Canis lupus familiaris: one gene and its partner. The protein of the gene in region 1 interacts with the protein of each later gene in a pairwise test. Links are inferred from orthologs where the notes say so. Each region holds a gene or a part of one and is shown in the gene's direction. Other genes may lie near its edges.

Region 1 (4,469 bases):
GGTCCCCGGGTAAACTGCCAGAGAATTGAGAGCTATCTATATTATAAATCAACTTTGTTCTTTTAAAATAATGGTCATATGTTCAGACTGAGCAGCATTTAGCATTTCTTTGTTTAAAGTTTTCAAATAGGGAACCCTGGGTGGCGCAGCGGTTTAGCGCCCGCCTTTGGCCCAGGGCGCGATCCTGGAGACCCGGGATCGAATCCCACGTTGGGCTCCCTGCATGGAGCCTGCTTCTCCCTCTGCCTGTGTCTCTGCCTCTCTCTCTCTCTCTCTCTCTCTCTCTGTGACTATCATAAATAAATTTAAAAAAAATTAAAAAAAATAAAGTTTTCAAATAAAGCAGGTTTCCCTCCTTATTCCATTAGGTTTGGAAGTATTTTACATTCAGGGGTGTAAAATGTACACCATGTACTTGATTTATGTCATCAATAGGTTTTACGTATTTCAATACTGAAAATCTTATTACCACATAAGGAATACAATGTTAACTCAGAAGCCCCACCATGTGATACAGAGGCGGGCAGCTGTAGGATACCCGGCTCTCCTACCTGTGCCTGTACTTTCTTATTGAAGTAGAGACCACTTCCCCTGAGTAGCTGGTTTGGGTTTTGTTGGTTCTTGCCTGGAGGAAATACAGTTGTTTTTCCTCAGTCTTAGGTTAGATTAAGAAAAACCTCCTCCTTTTGAAGCAGTTTGAAGCTGGATAACACAATGTCGGTGTTAATGGATTTTATTTTTAACCTCCCAACAGAGCAGCATTTTGCAGATGTTGTACTTAGTGAGGAATTTCTCAATCTCGGCATCGAACAAGTGTGCAGCTTAATCTCAAGTGACAAACTTACCATTTCCTCAGAAGAGAAGGTAAGTATGTTTTTCTTTCTGGTATATAGTGACGGAGTACTTTTCCTTTTTTTTTTTTTTTTTAAGATTTTATTTATTTATTCATGAGAGACACAGAGAGGCAGAGACACAGGCAGAGGGAGAAGCAGGCTCCCTGTGGGGAGCCCGATGCAGAACTCGATCCCAGGACCCTGGGATCACACCCTGAACCGAAGCCAGAGGCTCAACCCACTGGGCCACCCAGGCATCCCTACTTTTCCCTTCTTTATTTCACTTTGTTTTGTAACTTTGTAACCCTCTATGTGTAGCAACAGCCAGTGATCTTTGATCTGGAAGTTATTACAGACTCAACTAGTTGACTTGTTGATTGTGCAGATTAGTTTCTTCAGGCCACAGGAAATGCCCTGAATTGCTAGATGTTAGAGTCTTGCACTCAACCCCCACACCAAGAACCAGCACACCTTAAACTGAGCCAAGTCCTTTTGGGTGCTGGGTTGCTTCCCACAGTTAGATGCCTCTAAAAATTATGACCTAAATGCCATATTTCTCAAACCAGAGTAGTTTCACCATTATGTGAGTGGGAAGAAATTATCAGGGATAACAAAGTAATAGCTTGTTCTAGACTGAGCATTCCTTTTTTTTTTTTTTTTTTAAAGATTTTATTTATTTGAGAGAGTGTACAGCAGTGGGGGAGGGGCAGAGGAAGAGGGGAAAGCAGACTCCCAGCTGAGCAGGGAGCCCGATGCGAGCCGGGCCTCCATCCCAGGACACCACAATCGGGACCTGAGCCAGAATGAGGAGTTGGCTGCTTAACCAACTGGGCCACTCAGACACCCCACCTGTACCTTTCATATTGGTGGAGAAAGAATCTTCTGTTAGTGACTTTTATTCTTTGGGTGGGTGTTATATTCAGGAATTGGGGCACACAAGCTTGTGAACACACTGAATTTGGAGAAAGTGAAACTGTTTTTTTCTTTGTGTGCTTTGCATTTAAGGTTGTATGACCTGTAGCTTTATTCCTCAAAGTTATCCATCCTGCCTGGGCATAAAAAGACACATTTACTATTATATTTACCATATGAAAAAAAAGATGTGAAGAGTGGTTGTTAGATATGTCATCTAGTGCTTGAGAAATATAGAGAGGAGGAAAAGACATTGCTTTGCTATTCATATTTAACAGACACGTATTGAGTGCCTAATGTGGACCAGACGCTGTCACAGAGTCACAGCTACGGAAATGTTAACAAAATAGAAATCTTTACTCCATAGGTTAAAGGGACAACCATTGGGATGAATAAATAATTACGGAATGCTGTAGAGGGTATCGTAGGAACATTTCATCATTCCTGGGATGGGGATGCTGTTAGCCTGGCTCAAGTTCTAAAAAAGTATATGAGTTTGCCCGGGAAGTCAGGATGAGTGGGCGTGGGAAGGGCATGCCAGGTAGGGGTAGAGTATGTGAATGTAAAAAGGGTGTGAAAGGAATCATTGCATTAAGTTGGTTCAATATGTTTAGAGTCTAGGATATATATGTTTGACAGAGCGGTAGGAGATAGATGGGAAGATGGCATAAAATGTCTTCTCAGCTGTCTTAAAGAACCTTGACTTCATCCTCGTGATGAAGAAGATTCTTTAAAGGGTTTTAAGTGGTAGGAGAATGCTGTGGTAATACCCACATAATAGAAGTGGCATGAAAGCTGTCCGGATTTCCTACTGCTGCACAACAAGACACCCCAAAGTGTATGTAGTGACACAAAACAATAGCCGCTTTATTATACTCACCATTCTGTGGGCAGAATTCACTCAGGGCACGTTGGGACAGCCTGTCTCTGCTCTGTAGTGTCTGGGCTTCAGCTGGCTTGGCTTGAATGTCCAGAGAGACCAGCAATGTCTAGAGATGACCAACACATTGGGACAGCTTATCTCTGCTCTGTAGCGTCTGGGCTTCAGCTGGGTTGCCGTGAATGTCCAGATTAGCCATACTGGAACTTCAGTCGGTCTGCACATGGTGTCTTGTGGGTCCAGAAAATCCACATTGGCTCCCTTCATTCACTTGTCCAGCTCCTGGACTGCAGTTTGGTTGGTATCTCTTTCCACTTCTGTCCTCTAACCCTCTCCCCTTCCCTGCCCTTCCCTCTTTGGGGCTAGTTTGGGCTCCTCATAGCATGGTGATCTCAAGTAATCAGACTTCTTGCGTGACATCTGTCTTCCCCCAGATGAGCATTGTAAGAGACCCGAATGAAAACTGAAACGCTTCTTATCGACCAAGCTTAGGAAGTCACGCAGCACTTCTGCTGCATTTTTTAAATTTTTTATTTTTTTATTTTATTTTATTTTATTTTATTTTATTTTATTTTATTTTATTTTATTTTATTATTTATTTTATTTTATTTTATTTTATTTTATTTATTTATTTTATATTTTATTTTTTTGGTGACACAGGGCCAACTTAGAGTCCCTGTGGCAGGTTCACTGCATAAGGTGTGGATACTCAGAGATGTGGTTTATTAAGGGACCATTTTGGAGACCAGCCGTCAGTAGTGTGCTGACTGAACCCAAAGTGGGGCAAGGGTCAGATAGGAGGATGTTGAGGTCATACCAGTGAGCAGTAGGGTCTGACCTAGGATGGTGGAGACAGGTGGAGAAGAGAGAGTAGAGCTGAGAAATAGTAGACAAAATTGACAGGATCCTCTCTATTTCTAGCACCCAACACATACAGGTACTTTGTAGATACTTGGTGACTGAATGAATTAAAGAGGCATGTTAATTATAATGTAGATTTTTTTACTTTCATGCTCTATCCCAGCATCAACAGAAATATTTTTTTGTTCCTAATAATCCAACTACCTATTATCAGGCACTTTCCACAAGCCTTTAAAAATTACTGGATTATGTATTCATCAGTCTGGAAGGAAATTATATAGTCACGTACTGTCTTCATATTAGCTCATTAACGTTTTCATAGGTGTATGTTGTTAAGTTGTAATGCCCTTATTTTTTTTGTTTTTATTTTATTTTGTTTTTATTTTATTTTGTTTTTAATCTACTATTCAAAAATAGTAGATTTAATATATTTCATTGTGAGAAAAGAGAGTTCATCTATTCTGCAGACAATTAAGTAATTAACTAATTTTTTCTGCAGACACTTAACTTAGAAGTGTATGGCTAACATTTCTTTTTAAACCTAAAGAAAAAGCCTAAAATAGTTGTTTATGAGGGTATGTGATATTCATTCAACAGTATCACTTTGCTTTATTATTTTGGGCCCTTTATTCCAAAGAGACTTGAGATTTAAATCTTGGTAAGCAGAACCACCTTAGGAAGGTTATCAACAGTGAATTAGATCATGTATTGTCAGATTATCACAGCTACCACTTAAATTCAAGGAGATTAGATAATATATTTGGTGAAATGCTTAGTAAAATACCAAATGAAGAATACTTAATACATAAAAGTGCTGAAGGTACTTGCTAAATTAAAAATAGAACTACCATATGATCCAGCAGTTCCACTTCTGGATATATTCTTGAAGAGACGTCTGCGCTCCCATGTGCATTGGTTTACTGCAGCATTCACAATAAACCAATTCAAAGATTTCTAAATCTTTGATTTCTAAATCAAGATTT
Region 2 (4,469 bases), about 1.6 Mb from region 1:
TGCTCTATGCTTAATTGAAATGAATGAATTTATTCTCTATTTTTGAAAATCAACTTTGAGGTATAAAGAGTATTCAGTAAAAGAGCCATATTTTCAGTGTACAGATTTGGGTTTTTGGTAGTAGAACAGTCTAACCACCATTCTAGTGACTGATCACAGGGCCCACAGAGCCTAACATGTTACTCTCCAGTCATTTAAGAAAAAATTTGCCAGCTTCTGCTCTTATGAATAATGCTGCCATGAACATTCATGTACAATGTTTGGACATATGTTTTCATTTTTCTTTCTCTAGAACTAGAATTGCTGGGTCATATGGTGATTGTATGTTAAAGTGTGTAAGAAAATTGAGTTTATATGAAATTAAGTTTATAAGACTTGTTGGTTGTATGATAGGTGTCACATTTTAGTATTTAAGAAATTGCTTTATCCAAAGTGATAGTATCATTTTATATTTTCACCATCAATGTATTAGGGCTACATTCTCTCCATATCAATACACTCAAACCTGCAGTATTATCAGTTTTTTGAAAAACTTTGTAGCCATCCTGATAGTTGTATAATAGTATCCTAGTTTGATTTAATTTTGTACATCCTGACCAGTGATGTTTAAATATCTTTTTATGTGCCTTTGGTCATTTCCATGTCTTTGATATGAAAAACCAGTTAAAGTCTTTTGCCCTTTTTGGTATTAGGTTGTCTTATTAAGTAAGTAGTAAGAAGTATTTGCATATTCTGAATGCAAGTCCTTTTGTTAGTTATTTGTGTTGTGAACATCTTCTCCCATTCTGTGCCTGAAACTTTTTGCTTAAAGAAAGCTTCATTTTATTTCTCCCAGTTTTCTAGTTGTTTAAAGTGGGAGGGTAAATCTGGTCTGCTTTGTTAGGCAGGGACAGTAACTTTTTTGTTCTTTGCTGTATCTCTAGTGAGTAGCATAAAGTGTGGCAAAAACTAACTATCCAAAGGTCTCCTGAAGGAATTAATGTTTAGAATACCAACAATAGGAATCATGTATTTCCTAGATTGTTTTCTGAGAATAAATCAGTTTTTTTCTTATTAAAATTCTTTTCAAATTATGAAAAGTAAACATTCTATTTTTGTTCTTGTTGAAGTTTAAAAGGTGACACTAAGGCCTTTTGGTCTTGGTGGCCACACTTCATCTTCTAGAAGGTATTCATTACTCTTGTGCATAAGTATTATCCACCTGAACATTCATAATCCAGTCAAGTTTTTTTTGTTGGTGTTCAAAACTGATTTGTTCTATAGGTGTCCTTTAGTCATTAGTCACTGAAGAGCTAAAGGAAAGTTTCTAGAAACATTTTGTTCCAGCGATTTAAAAGAAAAGCATGGTGTTCAGTGTTTCTGCACTAACAAATTATTTTCATTTGTATAAAAGAATGATCCTTGACTTAAGATTCTGTGGGCAGTTTTTGTTTGTTTTTGACAGATTTTTAAAAAATTTGTTATGGAAATTTTCTAATACCTTATGTACTCTTTCTTCCAAGATTGAAAAATGAAAAGGCATTGCGTCTCAATCTTATTGGTAAGTAAATTTACTCATTGATACTCTGGCTAAACTGTAGTGAAATTCTGCTCTGTACCTATTTTTCTTTTGATTCTTCTAGGGACTTTTCTTTACTGGACTTAATTAAAACAAAGTAAAAGCAATTGTTAACTCTTAAAAAGTGTTAATATCTAGCTCAGTTTTTCAGAAACTATTTTTTATTTATCTATCAGCTTGCCTACCTACATCTATCCATCTGTCTGTCTACCTACTATTCCTTCTCTTGAAGTTTAATTCTAGCTCCCTAACCATTAGAATTAGGAAGGATTGTGGCCTAAGTATTTTAGAAACAGCAGTTTATATTTAGTGATGTGGATATGTGCATCCTCTGTCTGTATCTCAGTGTCACCATCTTTTTTTTTTGGCTAGATTTATTATTAGTAAATTTTTACTTAGAAGCCTGACTTTAAAATAGTGATACTTAGGGGCACCTGGGTTGCTCAGTCGGTTAAACATCTGCCTTGGCTCAGGTTATGATCTCAGGGTTCTGGGATTGAGCCCCATGTCTGGCTCTCTGGTCTACGGGTATCTGCTTCTTCCTCTCCCTCTCTGCAGTCTCTCTCCACTCTCTCAAATAAATAAATTTTTTTAAAAAATAGTGACTTAGGCTTTGTTCGTTTTTTGTTTGAATACTGATCTTCAATGCTTTCTCAGGTAATAGAATAGTATTTCTAAGTAGGTCATCCGTATCTCAGGTATGGCCGTAACTGAAAGTGACCCTGATGGTCACATTTACTCTTTGCACGGTATCTGACAGATCTTGTATGGTTAATATATTTACTAATTTGAGTACCCGGACAGGCTACTTAACCTTTCACATGTGTGAATAGGGATAATAATCCTCAAAGGATGGTAAAACTCTTGATATAGCGCCTGCTGCTTATTAAATGTTCATTAGTGTTATCCTCACCACTAATCTAATTTTCATTTTTATTATTTTAGACAAGTGTTCTATCTTTTGCTTTTTAAATACTTAGAACTTCGTGTTCTGTTAACATATTCTTTTTTTTATTCATGCATCCTTATTGGATAATATATATCAAAAAGCATCTCACCCACCCCTGTCTCTTCCCCGGATTAAAATGTGACAATTTGATTTCTGACAGACTGGTTTAATTAGCTTTGAGCCCACATAAGCCTTTATATTTAACATTGAAATAAATTTTGATACTATTTTAAACACACTGATGTTGAAAATTATAATGAATGCTCATTGCTTAGGTGCTGATTTATGATGTTAATCTATTTTGATACTTGTTGTTACAGGTGAAAAACTGCAGTGGTTTCAAAGTCATCTTGATCCCAAAAAAGTAGGATATTCAAAGAAAGATGCTTGTGAATTAATTGAAAGGTAAACACTGGGCATGTTATGAGCAAAAGGCTCAGAAAAGGGGAATTCTCCAGTTTGGTTCTTTAAGAGACTGAGTTCTGTCCTGGATTTAATAGAGGATTAAATGGGCTTTGTTATCATGAAAGCTTTAGACTCACACCCTGGTGTAGCTACTCCACTAGGCTTATAACTTTTCCCAGCCTCTGAGTGTTTACTTAACCTGGTTTCTTGGGATCGGGAAAGGCTTCCTAATTAGCAGATTGAGGTGGGTTAGTTCAAGAGCCTTTAGGCTGAGAGAACAGTATCAGATATAAGAGTGACATATTTAGTGATCTGCTGGCCATTTAATATAACCAAAATAACAGGCTCAAGGAGGGCATTGTGACAGTGACAGGTGCAGCTCATGAAAGACCTCAAGGATCATTGTAGGAGTTTGGACCTTATCAAAGGACATTGGGAGCCATAAGAAGCTTTTTACAGTAGGTACCTGAGATGATCATATTTAAACTTTAGAAATGTTATAGTAGTGAGAATGAGGATGGTGGCCTGAGGGGACATGGCTTTGGGCAGGACATTGTTGAAAAGCTGATGAAACAATCTAGGCAAGAGAGCATGCTGGCCTCTCCATGGTTAGTAGCAGTATGGTGAAGAGAAGTGAAGATTCCAGAAATATTAAGAAGGTAGAAAGTCACAATCCTTAGTGAAAACTTAGGATGTGACATAAAAGGGAAAAAATGGAGTCAAGGAGGACACCTATGTTGTTCATCTGGGCAGGTGGGTGGATGGTTGTGCTATTTTCTGAAGTAGAGAGCCAAAAAAAAGATGGGACAGTTTTGGTGGGGGTTGGGTGGGGATAGAGGTGGGCACAAGTTCACTTTTGATATGTTAAGCTTCTATGGGACATCCAAATGGAGATGTTCAGGAGGTGGTTGAGTGTGAGGGTCTGGAGTTTAGCAGATACTTGAATAGCAAGCAGTGATTTGGATGTTGAAATTTTGGGCATGCTTGGACTATTCAGGGAGGGTCTGAAGTCTGAGGATACAAGGAACTCAGGAGAATATAAAAATTTCAAGGATGGGCGAAGGCTGGGGTTTGTTTTAAATGATGTACTGTAAGCCAAATGGTGGGTAGACTTGTAACTCAAATTGCTTTCTTATTTCTCAGGTATTTAAATCGATTCAGCAGTGAACTAGAGCAGATTGAATTACATAACAGCATCAAAGACAGGCAGGGAAGGCGGCACTATTCCCGGGAGACAGTCATCAAACAGACAATGGAGCGTGAGCGACAACAGTATGAAGGATATGGCCTTGGTGTGTTCTCATTTTCTTTTTTTCTTTCTAAAATACACAGTCATATCAGATTTGTAATGTATTTCAAGGTTTTGATTTTATTTATTGTATTTATTTAGTTTGAATTTCTTTCTTTGATTTCTTTTGTGAGTCTATTGAATAATTTTTTATTTTTATTTTCTTCTTAAATTCTCAAAACTGTCACTTGTGATAGTGATGATAGTGATATCATATCTTTCTACCCTGACAGTAAAGTTTTCCTCTCCTTCCAGCACATTTCTAATTT

Evidence for each region.
Region 2: the proteins of KLHL2 (region 1) and TMA16 interact in binary tests that used the Homo sapiens proteins (3 or more experiments, as listed by UniProt). The two-hybrid records come from large-scale screens. The link is inferred for Canis lupus familiaris from reciprocal best matches to the Homo sapiens genes KLHL2 and TMA16.

Annotation. Positions count from the first base shown.
Region 1 is NC_049236.1:61,745,486-61,749,954, forward strand, and holds part of KLHL2 (kelch-like protein 2), read left to right. Parts: intron 1-754; coding exon 755-864; intron 865-1,524; exon of another isoform or gene 1,525-2,734; intron 2,735-4,469. UniProt on the Homo sapiens protein: Substrate-specific adapter of a BCR (BTB-CUL3-RBX1) E3 ubiquitin ligase complex that mediates the ubiquitination of target proteins, such as NPTXR, WNK1, WNK3 and WNK4, leading most often to their proteasomal degradation.
Region 2 is NC_049236.1:60,193,065-60,197,533, forward strand, and holds part of TMA16 (translation machinery-associated protein 16), read left to right. Parts: intron 1-1,502; coding exon 1,503-1,540; intron 1,541-2,827; coding exon 2,828-2,912; intron 2,913-4,055; coding exon 4,056-4,204; intron 4,205-4,469. UniProt on the Homo sapiens protein: Involved in the biogenesis of the 60S ribosomal subunit in the nucleus.